Linked DNA regions of Drosophila melanogaster. The protein of the gene in region 2 interacts with the protein of the main gene of each other region in a biochemical or structural test. Each region holds a gene or a part of one and is shown on either strand. Other genes may lie near its edges.

The links.
Region 1: the proteins of wbl (region 2) and pip interact in far-western blotting, tested with the Drosophila melanogaster proteins (one study listed by BioGRID).

What each region holds. Positions count from the first base shown.
Region 1 is NT_037436.4:19,332,537-19,342,283, reverse strand, and holds the start of pip (pipe), read left to right. Parts: upstream 1-4,674; 5' UTR 4,675-4,853; coding exon 4,854-4,942; intron 4,943-9,747. UniProt on the Drosophila melanogaster protein: Sulfotransferase involved in dorsoventral axis patterning in early embryos.
Region 2 is NT_033778.4:19,243,436-19,253,182, reverse strand, and holds wbl (windbeutel), read right to left. Parts: upstream 3,789-9,747; 5' UTR 3,359-3,788; coding exon 3,083-3,358; intron 2,879-3,082; coding exon 2,381-2,878; 3' UTR 2,266-2,380; downstream 1-2,265. Other genes in the region: CG33453 (uncharacterized protein), read left to right, coding at 1-63, 113-427, 492-638; CG33454 (uncharacterized protein), read left to right, coding at 1,517-1,576, 1,634-1,948, 2,010-2,156. UniProt on the Drosophila melanogaster protein: Probable chaperone protein involved in dorsoventral axis patterning in early embryos. Probably acts by folding and targeting pipe (pip) into the Golgi.

The DNA.
Region 1 (9,747 bases), on a different chromosome or scaffold from region 2:
CCACTCTGGCACTAATTTTAAGCGGTTAGACTAGGTAAAAAACTGTTAGCAGCGATTGGAAAGGAGTTGAGGAAGTTCGAGGGTAATCTCTACAGTGTTGTGATCTAAGGCATGCACATACTGAACTATGTTTAAACACTATGTTTAACGTCGAAGCATTTACATGACGAGTACTCAGAACCGGGGGCGTATATTGTATAGGTACTAGCTAGTAGCTAAATAGTCAACTAAGAGGCAGCACTTTTCTGTTATTATCGTACAGCACAAACAAGCAAATGACATCACCTAGTGGTTTATTATATACAAGTCGATACAGCTAGTTAATTAAATGCAATTGTTATTAATGAATTAAGTAGAGCTCCAAACCAGAGATATGCACTTAATCGAGAGAACTGCCAAAGGATTAGACAACAAAACAACAAAACAATCAATGTAAATATTTCTGTCGAGCAATAACTTGTTTTGCGTTAGCATTTATGTTCGTAATTTGAACACAAACCGATTCCACTTAAGTAGCTGCAGTGAGTAATATTCCTAAAGTCAATAGACTTTGTAAAAACTACGAGCGAAGAATAATAATAAACTGTATGCAAAACTACCATTTAAGACACGGCTCATAACCCATATAAACAATCAAACTTTTGGCAGTTGCAGTAGGATTAAGCAAACAACACCAAGAAGAAGCGGAAAAGGACATAAGTACTTTATTTTATAGACACTGAACTAGGGCAAAAATTATGAAACTGAATACTGAAAGCAAAGCAAATACTGGCTGCAGTGGGAATTTTAAAAATTTAAGAACCTCTGCCACGCCGGCAGAGTCCACATCCATAAAAACCCATTAAAATTTCAACTGCAATGAAACTTTGCCGAAAAGCGTGTGTATAAAAAATATATGATTTAGCCAGCATAAAAAGTAAATGAAAATATATACATAAATTAAATCAAATATTTTCGGTTGGCATTTTTTGATAGCAAATAACCTAAATATTTATAGCTAAAAAAGAAAGAAAGAAAAATTACCAAAACGCACTTTGTACAATTTAATAAAAAACGAGCAGTTTATATTATTTCCAGACACACAGCATAGCATACACATACATATATGATATTTTACACACATTCGAATAAGAGATAAAATAATACCGAAACATATACGAGAGCGAAAAGAAATTAAATTAATTAAAAAGGGCGCATAGGCCGAAAATGCATTTTTACTGCCGCCAATTGAGGACAAAACTAAAAATCGAAAACACGGCCGGCAGGGCATTTGAATAGTTAGCTTTAAGCCCGGCTAAAAATGCTGTAACTACTTTGTTGGCCACCATTGTCACTCACACAAACTCACATCTCAATCATCAGTTCGGTTCAGTTCCTTCTCTCAACCAAACCAAACTATGGAAATTTCTGTGCCAACTGTGTTTAAAGTAGAATTCAAAGATAAAATACGAGATAAAAGAGGGGGGGCCGGCGGATGGAGAAATTGAATTATGACCGCACACGAAACATTGCATATAATTTATTTGAAATGTTCAAAAATAAAGTAGACGAAACGAGAAGAAAACGCTGCGCGATGGTAAATAACAATATAATACAGACAGCTGTGTAAATAGTCAAACTGCGTACAGTCTACGCATATTTAATTAAAAACCGAAAAAAAAACTGATAAAACTGAAAAAAGTGACGCAATGAGATGGAATTTGAGAAAGGAGATCATGTCTTAAGTTCCATTTCGGAATTCACCCGATTTTCATTTCCTTTCACCGTTCGATAGAGTAAGTTTCACTTGTATGATAAATAAAACTAAACCAAATATTTATATAGAGATATTATACGTATATGAAAAGGAAACCTTAAGTTAATGACGCACTGAATCAAATAGATGAAACGAGTATTTAAAACCAAGACAATTAAAACCAAAAGGAACTTTAAGCAAAATAAAACCGATGAAAAAATTAAACTGAACACAGAGCACCTTTCTCTATTAGCCAAAATTGCAAAAGTGGGTGGTTGGGCGTTTGATTTTCGGGTGGAATAGATGGGGTGTTTAGTGGGTGGAATGCCAACTGTTCCGTTTGACGCTCGGGGGAAAACCGTTGGCCAAACTAAGGCGAACTCAAATCGTGTCCAAATAGCTGGCAGTCAAGTAGGCCACAGATTTTGATTGCCCGCATCCGGGCAGCAATCGGTGGACATCCTCGAAAATTCGGAACATCGAACGAGATGCTGTTAAAGCCAAGCCAAGCCGGTAGCTCCAGGCGTGTGTTCTCACCGGTCGGAACTCGGATTGGCCGTGGGATCGGGTTGTGGCTATGGGCTTTCCATGTCCCCCGCCTCGCCCACGCTGAGCCCGCATAAAACATAAGCCACCGGCCTGGTGCTCGTGTGGTGTGTGCTCTATATCCCACAGATTTCGCCTCCTCCCTCGGATTGCCCAGTTCTCTGACTCCGTGTTTATGGCCGGCAGCTCTGTTTCTGGACCTGGCAACTCTGGCCCGTGGACTTGGCCAAAATGGCTTTGATGGGCGTGGGCGACAAAAGGACCGGAAATCGCTAACGAGGCGTGGTAAAGCAGTTTTTGCAGTAAGTTTGAATATCAAGGTAGATACTCAAAAAATTGAATAACAAAGCATAATCAAATTTAATGGAGGGATCTACCTTGAATGTATTTTGTTATTATTGTATTACAGCTTATCAAACTAATCACTAGTATGTTTGTTGCTTTTATTTATTATTAACACATTTAAATATCTGGCTATTAAAGTTAATAATTTTGCAGTTCTTTTTATGCCGTGGTCATTAATATACATATAATACATATATCTACTAAAAGTATTCACTCTAGATTAATGCAAATTGATGAAATTATTTATTTATCGTACGCACTTACATATAACATATACATATAATATATTAATTTAGAATTTGTGTAAATAATAAATTTATTTACCGAATACGATTTTAAATTTCTTTTATATATTTAAGCGGATGTATTAAACATGCCAACCAATTAACATGGAAAACCTCGCTGCATAAAATACACTGCCGAGTATTGGCCAAATATAATATATACGCACACCTGCCACAAACTCACACAATCAGCTATTTGTGTTTGCACCTAGGGCCAATTGCAGTTGTTTACAATCGAGTTGGCCAGCTCAGCGCAATCGGCACAGCCACAAAGGGACAGTTGGCAGCAAAAAACCATGGCATCGGACCGAAGATATAGCCAACATATTGTGAGCGACCACAATTGGACAGCTGATAAACTTAACCCGAAAACCGACAGCCTAACAACTCGTCGGCTTTTAAGTTTCGAAATCGGAGAAAGAGTCTGATCATTCAGATAGCTCAATTATCTCAGTCGATTTGGACAGTCATCAATGCAATAGGCAGCAACTTTACAAGTTTTTAGCTACTCACTTTCTTGGTACCAAATGCTGAAATACCTTTAATTATTACCAGATAAACACAAGACATGTGCCGCCAACGCATTTCGTTTTAATTTTACTTTTATGTTTTGGCTGTTTTTATGTTGAGGCTGGCGTTTTTCCATTTTTTTGCAATTGTTATCGAGAAATTTACACGAATTTTCAACTTGTTGCTGAAATAAAAAAAGTTTAATAAGACTAAACAATCAGTTTTTTGTCGGTCCTAAAAATGTGGACCTATGCAGATAGTTATGGGTAAACGCTTAAATTCGACAGCCGTCTGACGCCAGTTAGTGGACAAGTCAGTTACAGTGAGAGTTAAAAGTTAAGGTACCTGAAAAAGATAATTTAAAGTAATATATGATAAGACACACTTAAATAAAAGAGTAAAGGTATAAATATATTGAAATCTAGTATTAATTCTCGTAAATTAAAAATTCGTACCTCAATTTAATTTTTAAATGTTCTAATTTAATCGGAAAAAAGATTTCTTTGAGGCACTGTGCCATAAGAGTCAACTGTTGAATAAGGGTCAATGAGCTTAGCTTTGTGGACAGCAAGTGGGGAGATCGCGGAATCCAACTCTTGTAGAAACTATAGATTTGAGTTTGGCAAAAATTAAGCTTAGATCCCGAAGTTTGGCTAACGAACGAGGCGAGAAGACAGACATCGAGAAGAATCGCTTATATATGTACGAATGGCCAAAACTAATCGATGGAAATTACAAAAGCGGGAAGGTCAACTTTTCGACTGTCCATTGGGGGGGATGGGTTCAAAGGTAAACCTGTTTTTAATTCTAATTCTCCCTTCCTCTATGAAGAAATAGAAAAAACTAAAGTTCTTATTTTTGCCAACGTGGTTTGGATCACACGCAATATGTTCTATTCAACCGAACAAATTACCATTAAGGTCGGTAAACCAGCTGATCCAATAAAGGATATTGAAACAAGTGCCCGAAATTCGATTCCTTGCGCAGAGAATAAAGACACTTCGCTGTTTGGACGACCTAAATAAATATGTCTAAGTAGATTAATGTCAGATGTGGGGTAATAATAAAAATGTTGCCACAGACAAATGGGCTACAGTCACGTCCCCACGAAATCAGTCAGCCAGCGAACAAAGAGCGATCAAAAGAGCGAATAAACAGAGCCAAAGAGAGTCGAAGAAAATGGTAAAAGCAAACAGTGGTAAGCCGCCGCTGCCAACGTCTTAAAGTTGGCCAAAAAGGCGGCCAAGTGCCCCCAGGAACATTCAGTCAAGCCGCGATCGCCGAGCTCTACGGACGTCTATATCTCTAAGTCTTCGAATCGTGAATCGGAACTCAAGTGAACCCAAGTGCCGACCGGAAAATTCTTTCGGCCAAGAAAGGTCTTCGAGAACTAAGATCTCAAGCGATTGTGTTTTTTGTGTAATTGACATTGGATGTCTCTGAACGCCGAGCGATCGTACAAAATGAAACTGCGCGATGTGGAAAATGCCTTCAAATACCGGCGCATACCGTATCCCAAGCGGTAAGTGTGGTCTTCAGCCGAGAAAAAGGCGGCGGAGAAAAGATTTCTTTCACTCGAGAACGGTGTTCGTTTCAAAGGGGAAATGCAATTGAGTTCCAGTTTCAGTTAAATTGAAAACCGGTCATAATTGCCATTGAATGGCCAGAGAATCGAAATCGAGTTGGTAGATCGAAGATTGCGTTTGCCGCAGCGCTAAAGATTAAAAATACTCTGCTCTCGATTCTCCATAAAAAGCGCTTAACTTTCCGTTTTTCGCATCTGGCTAAAAGTGATAGTGTTTCAGGGTCGTTGTATTTGATAAATAAAATTAAATAAAAACTCCAATTGCTGGCCAGAGCAGTTCGAACATTCTTGACGGACTTTAAGTAGTGCCAGCCAGTAAATTAATTGCAGCTACACTAGAAGAAATAGATATTTTTGATCTTAAATTTAATATGAATCTCATCGACTTAGATGGGTTTATGTAGATCGACGAGCTTTAAGAACTTTATTTTAAAAAATTGATTGAGTACTTTTAATTAAGCTATGAAAAATTGTTACGAATGCTGATATGAGCTTCCAAGTACTGTATCAATTGAAAATATTTTCAAAAATTTATATATACAAAAAGGGGTCTATTATTTATCCTTTTATTTTTTTTGTATTTATTATTTATACTTTGAAAATGTTTTCTTATATTTTGAAGACTTATTAAAAGCAAGTATTAAAGCTTTGTAAACACTGTACTTCAACATTTAATTTTAAATGTTTCATAAACTTTTCTCTGTGCACTTGCGTCTGTCGTTTTTTCAATCTCTGCTCCAGTTAAAAGCTACAATCTTGTTTCTATTTTTTATTGCGTTTTTCATTTTCAATTCTTCTCATAATTCATTTGGTGTAGCACCTCGGGGCGGCAGATGAAGAGGAGGAAAACCACAAAAGCCGAGCTCACTTCAACTATTTCAAGTAGCCAAAAGAGCCGTGTCTTACCACCATCCTACCACTGCATTGTGTGGGCCTGCATTTTTCGGTGTTTGTTCTGGCCTTTTACAGAACCCAACTCGGCTCAGTTCGGGCCAAGTCAGCTCAGATAAAAGTTAAGAGCCCCCCAACTTGACTGCCCGCTCATTAGTCGATGGTCGATGGTCGACGGCCGGCGGTTTCTGCGGCCGCCCATAACAATTTTGGCTATTAAAAGGTGTTTAGGCCAGAGAACTGAGCCACTGCGTCCGCTATTGTGAAAGATTCGCTCTTTTTTCCGTTTGTATGGCCAAATTTGTTGCAACGAGTGCGTCGAGATGTAAACTAATGATATACCGACTACACATGTTATGGGCTAATTGGCTTTTGGGAAACTATTTCTTACCGTTTTTGTTGACTTTTTAAAAGGGTGTGAGAATTTGCTTTTCATTAAGGCAAAACGTGGTGAAGTCATGGCTCACAGCTATTTGCGTATAACTGTGAGATCTTAGCTCAAGCTAATGGCAAATTGGATCAACGACATACATATGTTTTATATTTTATTTAAACATTTTCCCACTTATTGAGTCCCTGCTAGATATCCTTTTTTCCTATAAAGCCCTCGTTAATTTTCGCGAAGCGAGGCCCATTTCCCGTTTATTTGCAGAACAAATTATTACATTAAATGTATGAATTACTGGCATTAATTAAACACATGGCTTAAATGTAGATATGTGTGATACTTTCTGTGGTTACCGCTGGCTGGAGCATAAATTTTACGCTCATTTTGACAATTTCATGCAGCTGCAAACTCTCAGTCAATCAGTTGGCCACTCAGTCAGTCTGCCAATCAATCAGGTAAACATTTATTTTTTATCCATTTCCGATGGCCAGGCGACTTAGTGAAACGAGTAATCTTGCCATTTGCACAACAAAATAGTGCAAATATTTGAATATGGATATGATTTATCACAACAGATACGAATTGTCCTGCAGAGAAACATAAATACATAAATTCCCAGCCATATTGCTGCGTACACTTACGTCGTTATTTGCACAATTCTTTTGTACGCTCTCAAATTGATATTAATTAATGAAATTAATTGGTTTTGCTTAAATAACTCGGCGACAGATGTTTGGCAGCTTCATTATCCGGACACGCGATAAATGAGCATACGTAGAAAATGAGTTCGTTGCACCCAGTTGAGAAAAATCAGTCGGAATCGATTCGAATCGATTTGAAAAGTCAAAAAAGACAATTATACGCTCAATGAGTGGAATGAAGTGCAGTTATGCAATAATTTCTTTCGAATTAGCATAAATTACGTTTCTGATTTGCTTTCCATTTGGATTAGGGTTTACCTAATACAAAAAACAAAACTCACTCTTATTTTCACTGCAAGCCGAAGCGTGACAGAAATTATTTAGAACGCCCCAAAAGAAAGAGGGCGAAGACTCAAGCCGCGCTTGAAAAGACTGTAGCTGGCTCTTCGCTGCCGAGTCTACAAGTCTTCAAGTCTTTCTTCTGTGCGCCTTTCTCAGCAATTCTTCTCTTTCTTGCCAGTTTCTTTCTTTCTCTGGGCGCCACGACATGCAGTCACTTACTCTTTGGTAATTATATTCAGTGATGTGATTTGTTTTTCTTTTCTTCATTTTCTTTCGAGTTTTGCATGCCGTTTTGTTTTATTTTGCCTGTCTTTCTGCAATGGAAATGATGCATATTGGGAATTTTACACGCTGCCGGTGGCCCGCGGGAAAGTTAATTATTGCTGTCTGTCTGCGGCGGGTGGCAAATTAAAAAATAATTATTAACAAAAACATATATATGTGCTAAATTTTATGTTTTAAAACGGCAATTAAAATGTTTTTCTTCACACACTAAGAAACAAACGAATTTATAGCTGTAGGGTTAAATACACGACTTTCTTTTTTATGGTTTACAAATATTTAGGAAAATATTATTAAAAAAGAATGAAACAAGTGAGTTGGGCCTTACGAGCTTTTTTCCGCTTACACAATCTTGTTTACACTCTTAGGATTTTTAACAGTGAATTAAGCGAAACAAAAATATATAAAACCTATATTAAATGGAATACAATTATCATATATAAAAAATTATTTTCAAAATTATTAGCTGTGCCAAAAACAAACTTGGCTCTTTAATATGGTATGTTTACCCATCCAATTACATATATTTTCAAAGTTTACAGAATAACAAGAGCACATTTTGAGTGCTTTTAAGCCCGTATTTTACACAATTTTCGTAAAACTTCACACCTAACCCGCATGATCAGGTGAAACTGTAGGCCCTCTGCCCACATATGACTCCCTTTTTCACTGATAATTTCGCACGCAACTTTTGGCAAGTGAAAGCCCACAAAATATTCACATGTTTTGTATACATTATAGCAATTTATGACCACAGCCGTTTAGCACCTTTCAGAAGAGATGACCGGCAATTTTACTGGGCCAATTTCGGAGAGCAACAAACGCCCACCGGTAGTCACTAACTATGTGGCTGTTATTAGTTGGCCATAAAAACAAAAACTTCGGTTATGGCTGTGTGGACATCAAAAACAACGCCCTCTCCCACGAAAGAGTTTTTCTACATTATGTAAAAACGGTCGAATGCTGGGCGCAGAGTGGCAAACACAAAATGCTAAAAAAAAAATTCGCAATATTTTTAGCACAGTTTATGTATTACGGAGGCTCTATAAGAAAGCCAAAGCCAAAGCTGATTAACACAATCATGTGAAAAATGTGCAACACTTTTCGGCTAAAAATAAAACAAGTGCAGAGATATAGCCAGACGCAGCAGACAAGTGGAAATTATGTGTATAGCTTTCACTTGATTTACAAATATGGGCTGCGGGACAAGGGGGCGTGGCCAGCAATGCGTAACAGCCAAGTGATGATGACAATGATGAATTTTTCTTTTCGTCTTCTGACGGACTTCAAGTTTCAAGTTTGCCAGGTGTAAATTGATGGCCAAAAAGGTGAAGTTGAACGAAAGGTGCATCTAGTTCAAAGTCATTGAGCATGGTCTTTAAAATGAAATAGTCATGGGTGTAATCAAGGTAAAGGCTAGTCAAATGTTTCATAGGGCTAAGTTGAGGGACTTGTTGTTGTATTATTATTTTTTCAAGGGTATACAATAGCTAATAGTCCAGCGCCCAGGTGGCGCATCTTTTCAGTTTTGTACAAATGATCATCAACTAATTACCCTTTCACCGCGCTGATAAAAACAATGAAGAAAACTCATTAATAGCACTACAGCCAACATGGTCCCCTAATTTATTTAGGCACTTCCTTGCCCGAAAAGACTTTCATAAAAATTATCTTTATGCAATGCATAAAATGTTTGAAGAAGCACATAAACCTCCTTTCAATTTGTGTTTTTCCCCAAAACATATAAAGATGTTGTTACTCGTACTTTCATACTTCATAAAATTTGATTGTTTTTGATCAAATATGCATGCAAAATGCTATAAATAAGAAACCAGGCTAAATGTGAATAAAAAGCAAAATGTGTGTGTTTACTTTTTTTGCGACCGTATCCGTACGTTTCTTTCTTTTTCTTTTTTTAAGTTTGCCAAATGCAGACGAGGCAAAATTGAATTTAATTTATCTGCTGCTTCTTCACTCTCACACAGCGAAAGTGAGTTAACGCTTAGCTTGAGATCCGAACTTGGTAAATACCTCGAGTATGTAAATCACTTTTTACAGCCGGCAAACTGCGAAGATTTATGGCCACCAGCTACTTGGGCGAGCAGAATATTTAACGGTGGGACATGTCTGGGATCCCAAGAGATAGATCTCCAGGTGGGCGGTGCTCGTCTTGGCCATCAGGTGAAAGCATTGAACTC
Region 2 (9,747 bases):
AATTCTAACGTTATCCTTCCTGGAGTTTTTTTAGCAGCTTTGTTCCTCATCAGCAGTGTAAGTGTGAGAAAAATTTAAATTTTGAAAGTGAAACTAAATAATATATTTTCAGGAAGCACCCAATATTAAGCTGACAAATGTAGTTTGTGAATCAATAAACAAATCCTGGGCTGTTTTTCATTATTGCCGGCTAAAGGCTTACTCGCGTAACAAGACCAGCTTGAACATAAATGCAACATTTCTGCATCCAACGAATAATGTATCCCTCAGATTAAAGATGGTGAAAAGATTAAGTGGCTATAAGCCATTTCTCTTCGATGTCACAATCGACGCCTGCCAATTTCTGCGAAAACGACATAATCCCGTCATAAAAATGTTTTATAGCTTTATAAAGGATTATTCTACACTAAATCATACATGTCCTTATGTGGTAAGTTAGGTTACGCCATATTGGCCATCAGCAAATTTAATAACTTTAATCATTTTTTTAGGGCTTGCAAGTGGTTAGCGATTATCACACCGCTGTATTTCCAGTACCATTACCTTCAGGAGACTATGGAGTGTTACTAGATTTCATCTTCTATGCTAAGAAGCAGTTTCACGTGAATATTTATTTTAACTTTGTGGAGGATTTTTGACCACCCGTTTCTATGAACATTATAGTTCTTAATTGAACTTATTGAAGCTAATAAACAGTTTAAGAAAAACATAATTATTTGATTAAGATATCTTGAAAATATAATTATTTAATAGATTTCGCTAGTTCGCTCATACATAGCTACCAGCTTTTGCAAATATGACCCTCAACGAAAACACAATTTCAATTTATTACCTATATTATTAGTTAACCGCACTTGCATCATTAAGTCATATTTGCCCAAGCTTTTGGAAACGTTTTTCTTAATATACAACTTCATTAGTATCTGCTTACATTTGAAGCTATTTTTTGTGCTTCAACACTAATATATACCTTCGGTTTTAGACAGTTTATTTATCATTTAAGGGTATTCTAAAACAGAGCAGATATGTAGCAGATATATTCGAATGAACGCAAAACTAGCACCGTAATGATTGTTGCATATCAAATCAATTTTGTATAATTAAAAAATACATCAGATATCGTGCTACCATCACTGAAATTGAATTTTAATAACCTCTTCAGTACAAGACAACCCACAATATATCACTCAGATCAAATCAGAAGACAGCAAAATTAATCAATGAAACAAATCGATTATTTCAAAGACAGCCATTTCTGGGTTAAAACATAAAGTTTGCAATAGGTAACTTTTTGTATCTGATTTCAATGTTTTTTAAGCATTACTATATTAAGTTTCTATTTTAAATGGTATACCTAAACACGCTGAATCGTTTTGTGCTGACTAATATATCAATTTTGTGTAATTAAAGAGGTAAACATATTTATGAAAAGTATATCTTAATTATGTGTTGAACTACCATCACCTAGTTCATAGTTTATATTACAGTCTTAAATTGATTTTTGTGTTTGTCGGACATGCTGGCCAATGTGATAATTCTGGGAGTTTTTGTGGCTGTCGTTTTTTTGGTTTACAGCGTAAGATTGCCCGATATTGTTTTTAATAAAATGTAGAAAGTATATTTACTTCTTTAGGATTCGGCTATGGTTAAAATGACAAATGTTGTTTGTGAATCATATGATAAATCGTTGACCGTTTTTCATTACTGTCGATTGAAGGCCTATTCCAGGACCAAGACTAGTTTGCACATAAATGCAACCTTTTTGCATCCAATCAATAGCATATCTGTCAGATTTCAGATGCTGAAGAGGGCCAATGGTTACAAGCCTTTTCTTTTCGATATCACCGTCGATGCCTGCCAATTTTTGCGAAAACCAAATAATCCCGTCATTAAAATAGTTTATAATATGATAAAGGATGCATCCAACATCAACCATTCTTGCCCGTATGTGGTAAGGTTTTTAATCAAAATAATATACAATTATATATCCTTTTTTGGTCGATTTGCAGGGTACGGTGGTACTTAACGATTTTCATCGCATTTCACTACCCCTTCCATTTCCCTCTGGAGATTATTTATCACGCCTAGACTTTCTAATTAATGGTAAAACGAAGTTCTATGTAAATGTAAATATGCATGTACCAGAGGACTTATAAATTGAAGGCTTATTTGTGTTTAACTGACTTGTTAACTGGCAATGAGGAGTGGAAATAAAATAGTTTGATTTAATTACTACAAGGCATTTCAACATAAAAAACTGTCTTTATTTGGATGATAGACTTATAATTCGTATAAATTGTACATTCACATGTTTCTGTCGAGATCCGACATTTATAAATATCATAAAGTATTCATAATTTTGTTTAAAGATCTAACAAGTTCACAGTTCCTCCTTTTCCGGCGCTGTCTTGGTGACCTTGTGAACCCTGAAGACTTCCAGGATGTTCAGTTTCCTCAGCAGCTCCTCCTTCTTGGCCTCGGTGACCTTGCCGGCCTTGAGGCGCAGGAGTCGCTTGGTCTCCTCCTCCAGGAAATCGTAGCCCACCTCGTGGATCTTCCGCATGTAGATCAGATAGGCCCTGGCGTTCTGCTGCTGCTCGGGATCGGTCAGCTGCTCCTGCTTGGCCTGCAGCTTTTCGATAAGCTTCAGTTGCTCTGCATCGGGGATATTGGCATAGTTCTTGAGCACTTCGTTGAACTCTTTGATGCAGCCATCACGACCGATGTACAGAGGTGTGTTGGCACTGACAAAAGCCTTCAGATTGTCCAGCGTTACGTCGACGTGGCTAGGAAGCTGGACGTACTCATCAGCGTTGCCCTTGAACAGGAAGATACTCGGGAAGTTCTTGTCGTCGACTTTGTAACGGTCGCCCAGGGCCTGCAAATTGGGATTAAAAAGTTGAAATAATAAATAAATCAAATTTAAAGTGCTTTTAAATAATTTAAATAGCACAGAGTCTTTAGAAGGGCATCCAAGCTTTAGGCTGCAATCCAGGATTCCAAATGAACAGAGCAGAAACCACATTTTTTCCAATCATTACCACATATCTAAATCCTAGGTAATCCATAAAATAAAACTCACCTTGTTCTCCAGTTCTCCATAGTCCTTGACACCCACGGTGGCTATTAGCAGATCTTTAGTTGCCTTGTGGGCAGATTTGGAGAAGGCGGTAAAGGCCTCATGCTTTTCCCCATACGGATATGCGATATCAAATTTCACTACGGAGTAGGGAAATCGTTCCACCGTCTTCTCGAAACTCAGCTCATCCAGATCCACGCAGCCCGTGCAGGTGACGGCCCAGGTGGTGGGTATCGAGTGGATAGCGACCAGGAGCAGAGTCACCAAAATATGCATCATCTTCGTGGCAAAAACCAGAGACTTCTGAACTTGACCCTACTCTTGCCGTTTGTCAGCGCAAACTGGCTAAAAACGAGCGCGAGAAGAGCGGTAAAGTTGTATTCGAGTTCGAGTTTTGGGCCAGTTTACGCTTCGCTCAGCTGAAATTGTTTGGCTGCTTTGGCCAACTCACTCAGTTCTGGACTCTCTGGTAGTCTGAAATGCTCTGAAGTTCTCGTCTCCACAATTTCTCGATCGAGTTGAATGACACGTCAGTGAATAGAAGCGGCTCTCTCACTCAAAACCGGCTATTTCGTTGACCAACTCTTGTTGTTAGTTCAGCTGTTTTGGCTGTGGGTCTATTGTAACACTTGTAGGGAGATTTATTATATAATGCCTGGTACTTAATGCGTGTGCCTCGTTTTTGACTGTCGCTTTTAAACGTAGAAATAATTGTCATCCCAATAGCTGGGGAATGAACATTGATGCCAAGCTGATAGAAAATATATTTCGGCCAAAAACGATCAGTTGGCCAATAGAGCGTGCCACATTAAACCAGAGCAATTAGCCATGTTCACAAAACTGACAGTGCAAGCGAAGTCCACAGGAAGTGGTAATTTGCAACTGTACATGAGTGTTTTCGGGTCTTTCGAATTGTGGATACCCTTTAAAGGTATATATATGAAATTCAACTCCTTTCAATCACAAGATTTCTTATTTATACGTTTTAGTAACTTAACTTTACAAATGAACTATGCATTAAAGTATCTCTACATACAATGAATTGACATAGTAGCCGATCGACTCTTTAGAAGTTTGCTAAGGAAAATGGAAACACCTGCCAGTGGACGGAAAAACGGGGTTAGTTTGCCATAATTTTCATTAGCCTGGAATTGAAATTTTCCCGGCACCCGATCCCACCCCCAATTCCGTGCTCCTTCCCTTTTGTCCCGGTTAATGGACATTTTCGGCAATTGTCAATTAATAATTCATGTATGCGGCACACATGTTGGTCACCTCAAACCCAAAAGACCGCCGATGGCCAAATGCCCCGCCCCCCGCCCCCTTTGGCGGCTAAAATAGTTGGTTTAGTTTTTCCATTTGCGGTTTCGTTTGTCCACTCTACGGAAAATTGAACATCACGGCACGCAATTCGGGAAGGAGGTACGGAAAAGCGTTGCGAGCTTCACACGATCGATATGGCCGACCGGTAAATTATCTTTTCTGATGGATGGGCGTGTGTCTTTTGTGTGTGTGTGTGTGGGGGGGGGGGGGTGGTAAATGGGTGGTTGGGCGTTCGATTGGTGCGTCAGGTGCAAGGAAAATCCAAACGGCAATGCGCAATTTCCAATGGAATTAACTGGCGATGTAGGGTAAGGAGGAGGTAATGCCTGATGGAGATCCAGTAATGGGGCCTGACATGCGTGTGTCAATCGCACAAAGGCCCAAAATTACCGGATTGGATGGATGGTTGGGAGGTGCTCCATTTGTAATGCTGACCTCTTTGCTGGCCGCGCAAAAAAAAATGGAGTCCAAGTTCGGTGTGTTTTCGGTTCATGGCGCACTTGTGTTTACATTCCATTTATTATGCAACAAAGGACAAGCAATTTGCTAAGTACACCCCAGTCGAAAGGCCTTCAAAACAACATGGAAAACATAGCATTCAATTAGTTGCCGTGACGGGCATTTTATATTGAAAACTTTGCCACTGGACGCCAAGTAAATCCTTCTTCGGTTTTAAAAATAAAAATCTAGATTATATTTAGCCAAATTATGGGAATTACCCGGCGAAGAACCTTCAAGAGTCCTCCAACTAAGGATATCCCATATGCGGCATAAATAATATAAATGGTGGTACTTTTGCGTTAGTTTAAGTGCAGCGGCACTAATAACACAATGACCTTTACGCGAAACGACCCCCCTTTGGCCCACCCGGGGGGCTTTTGGTGCTGAGGGGGTTGCCCTGACCAATCGACATTATAGTGATAAGCGCGCAAATTTCAGGACCTGGAATGGCTGCAATCTTGGTGCGGAAATCAAACGATTGCGGCATTGTTTTTTATAGACCACATCTATTGGGTTTTGGAGCGACGGCGAATAGACAAAGCTAATCGCCTACAGCAGGGCAGGTGCTCCATTTGGATACCGTGTAGTGGGATCTGTCAGGGGTATATTTGGCCTTGTGATCATGTGATAGTAATTACAGCAATTATTGTATTGTATCTTATGATACATTTTTTTAACACATCATATTGTATATGTATCTTACTTATTAAATATATGTTTTTAATAGGATTGAATATTTAACAATTATCAGAACTCTTTAAAAAAAGTTTTTAAAATATTATAAACTTTTTCCCTTTCAGATTTAAGTGTGCGAGTTATTGCCGACACTCATTTGCCGCAGGGTATCTATTAACAATCCTGCTTTCAGGACAACCTTTATTTTTTTGGCAGCCCCACAGTCTAATTATGTGGCAGTACATTGAAGGCGGGCCATGAATTTTTCATGGCCCACGTATGCCAAGACATGCAATGTTGGAGCCAACTGGCCAACTGACAATTTGGATAGAAAATAGATGGAGTTTGGTCTGCGGAGGGGATGGGGCTGCGAGTTCCCAACTTGCGTAAGAACCCACGCGATTTCGAATCATGGAAATTCCCCGGTCTCGTTTATTGTAAACTTTTCATTGGGATCCAGGCACTTGTGAAGTTGAAGCTCATCAAATTTTTATGCCATGGCATAATTCCATAAATGGGCCATGGAATGACCCACCTGAAAAAAAGGCCATATGTTCCACCCCACAAAACGAAAACATGGGAATAATAACTTCGACAATAATTCGCATGCCCAAATCGAAACTGCCAAAGTCGAATGCCCGGTTAAATGGTCAATAGGCTGTGCTCATCATAATTGGTATTTATTGAAAATGCCTTTTGGTTAACCCACACATCGGGTGTTCATAACCATAACCCTTGCTTTCGAATGAGAGAGAGAGAGAGAGAGGGTTAAGGGTTATGGGTTAAGGGTGGACAGACGTAGGCCTGGTTATCGTGTTTATAGCTTTTCATTTGCATTTATTGCCATTTCGATACGTGTGGCTATCAGGCCTGGCAATTTGAGGCGTTTAGCGCAAATTTCTTTTCAATATTTGTGCACCCAATAAACCGAAATGGTCAGTTAGCCGGTGGCTTTTATTCGCTGCGGTCTTCCAATTTGATTGCAAATTTCTTTTTTCGACTTTTATGCCAACTGCGTGCTGAGAATTTGAGAGCAAATCGTTAGTGGCTGAAAAGCGCTTAGATGGTCAATGATTTTGGTATGAGTTGGCCTCGCTAATTAATCACTCGAGTGCATTATTATGTGTTCTGCGCTAATTACGCTTTTTCAATATTTATCCAAGAAACCGCGGTCAAAATCAAATAAATTCGTTTGCCTTCATTCAACATATTCCAGTGACAATGGGCCTAATGGTAATTTCTTGAGCGATTGACTATTGGTTGGTTTGCCTTATCGTGGGGAAAATTCCATTAGCACACGGCCTATTAATTAGCCAAAAATGAATGTGTCTTAAGTGGTGTGAGTTGGTTGTATTGGTCATTTAGGTGCTTCGAGTTGGGGGATTTAATTGGGTCGCCAAGGAGAAACTGTACTTTTTTTCTTGGCTAATAACTATCCACTTTTCATTTCCATTTTAATATGATATTATGCTATGGTCATCAGTGGACTAATATTTCATTTGAGATAAATGTATCGCTTTTCAACATTTTGTTAGCTTGACCAGCTGGCTTCCGTTTTCTTTTAAACCTAAGGATCATTCTGGTATTGCTCTAGTGCATCCAATCGCTGACCATTTCCCTCAGGATTTTCCTCAGGGGAAACTCATGTATAACAGTTGTGGCGGGAAATTTGAATGGCGCATGCGTGGTTCCCGCTCCGAGCGAAAGGACTTCCAATGCGATGCCACATTGCACCCACTCTATCCGGGGTTAGGGCATTTGTTTACAAACAAATGCATAACAGCCAAAGGTAAAAGGGGTAAACTGCACTTACACAAAGCGACCGCCCATGCGAATATTCCCAATAATCAACCTCAACTTGTTGCTTGACCATTTTCCGCGCTGGGAGGCAATTACTTAACCGAGTGGTTGGGCTATGGGTGGTCGGGAGCCGAGGACACGAGCAGACAGACATGCAAATTGCAGTTTCATGTGGCAGAATTGGATTGCCACCGCCTTTTGGGGGCTGCACCGTCGCACAATTCGCATGACATTTCCTAACATTCTTTTTCGCTTTGCAGGATAACGCCCCACTGGACTTTTGTTTTATAACATTTGAGCATTCGGAACGCAAATGGTCATCAAATCTAATTGGCGACGTCGCGTCGCAAATACCTGAAATTGCAGGGCATGCAGTTGATTTTTTGCACTGATTTCGATGCGGATGTCAGCTGGGGATTATTACGGTACGGATCGATGCATCGGAGGGTTAATGCGCTGGCCGTACTCAGATATTCCATTACTTTGTACCTGCGGCGAAGAACAACAAAAACTAAAAGCAGCGGGCCAAAGTTGATGCAATAATTTGCCACAAGTTTTCCGAGTGACCACAACAACATGCAATATGCAGTGGGCTCGTCAAAACTACACTTCAAACAAAACTCTACTAAGACATTTCCAAGAAGTAATTCGCTACATGTAACAAATTCCAAAGGAATATCGTTTTTTTTTCGTGTGTAGAAAAAGCCGCGAACGTTGAACGAAATTTTCGCAAGAGGATTTTCAAACGGCGCGATGTAAAAAATGCATGAGCCGACTAAGCCCAATGCGGTTATCGTGTCCTTTGGGGTGGATATATGTTTGTAACAGGGACATAGACATGCAGGTGCAAATTCCTGGCAACCCCAGGTGAACTGACTGACGGACGGATTGACCGCATGATTTTCAGCATGTGAACGCCTTTCGGTTGGCATTTTATCGGCGGAGCGCGTTTTATATCTAAACTATGAATCAATGCATTAGTCAGTCACCTTGTACGCTCTACTTTAATTACGGCTTTTTACGCTGCACCTGAAGTCCCCCAAACGTCCTTTTCCAAAACTCTGCCTTCGACACGATTTCTTTTCTATTTCAACAGCGAGCTGACATTTTTTTGCATGTTGTTGTGGCTGCGAATTAAAAATTGCATACAAAAAATGGCAGCAAAAAACTAGTCGATCTTTACTCGACTTTGGAATACCAACTAATCGGTTTTCACTATATTTGCTTGATCAAAATAAAGCAAGTTAGTTATTTATATATATTTATAATATATAGATCATTTCCAATGCAAATGTGAGAAAAACGATTATAATATTGGTAATTTTTAATGTAGTGATTGCTTTGATCCTTTTGAATTATTTTAATAAGAATCGCAAAACTTGCTTTCAAGTTAATTAATTCAAAACTTCAAATCGCTAGCAGTAAACTTACTTCAATAATTAAAGAAATTCGATATTGTTTTAACATACCCCTGTCCTTTAGAAACACAGGGTGCAAATAGCGAAATGAAATTCCTGGCACAGAACGTAATATTATTAGCGGGGAAGCCTTGTCGACCGCCTCCACTTGACTGCGAGCAACTCGGGGCCATAAATATTGCATTACAATCGCTTTACCCCCTTTTTTTTGGGTTGGCGAGTTGTCGTGCAGTCGGTGGTTCCACCTCCACGTGGTGGGTGGTGACCCCTCCAACCCCATCCCGTCGGGATATGCAATTGCGAATTGGATTTCATGTTAATGCAGGGTCCTTATCGCCGGTCATGTGCTTGGACGGTCAGCAATGGGTTCATTTGTGTTCTATTTGGCCGGTAATTTCACTTAATTGCGATGACGTTGTGTGCAAAAAGCCATGGCAAGTGGGGGCGTTTTGGGGCGGGGGATGGAGACCCAGTGGATTGCTGATTTATATCGCCATCGAGCGAGGTAGCACGGTCCATCAAATATTCAGCGGTCCGTGGCTTATTGAAAAGCACAAATGGCAATTTCAGCAAGTGCGAATGCCCAGGGAGCCGCCAGTTTGCCTTCCAGAAAAGCACTTAATCGGTGTTTTTTTGTGTGTGTACATTTAGGTTTTATTCTTGTATTTGAATGCAATCGTGGTTTACAATATATAGAGTTTTCATTTCAACGTTGCCTTGCACATTCAATATATAATATACGTAATAAAAAGTAATTATAAACAACAGTTGTAATAAAAATAATAAACATGTAGATGCATTTTCTCGTAGACGGTTGCGGTAACGGATAATTGGGAATTTATCTTTTTATGTTTCTTAGTGTTATGTCATGTGGGTCATCAGCTCGAGCTCAAATATACACTCGTGTGTATATATATATATATTTGTTTAAATTATATTTAGATATAGGTT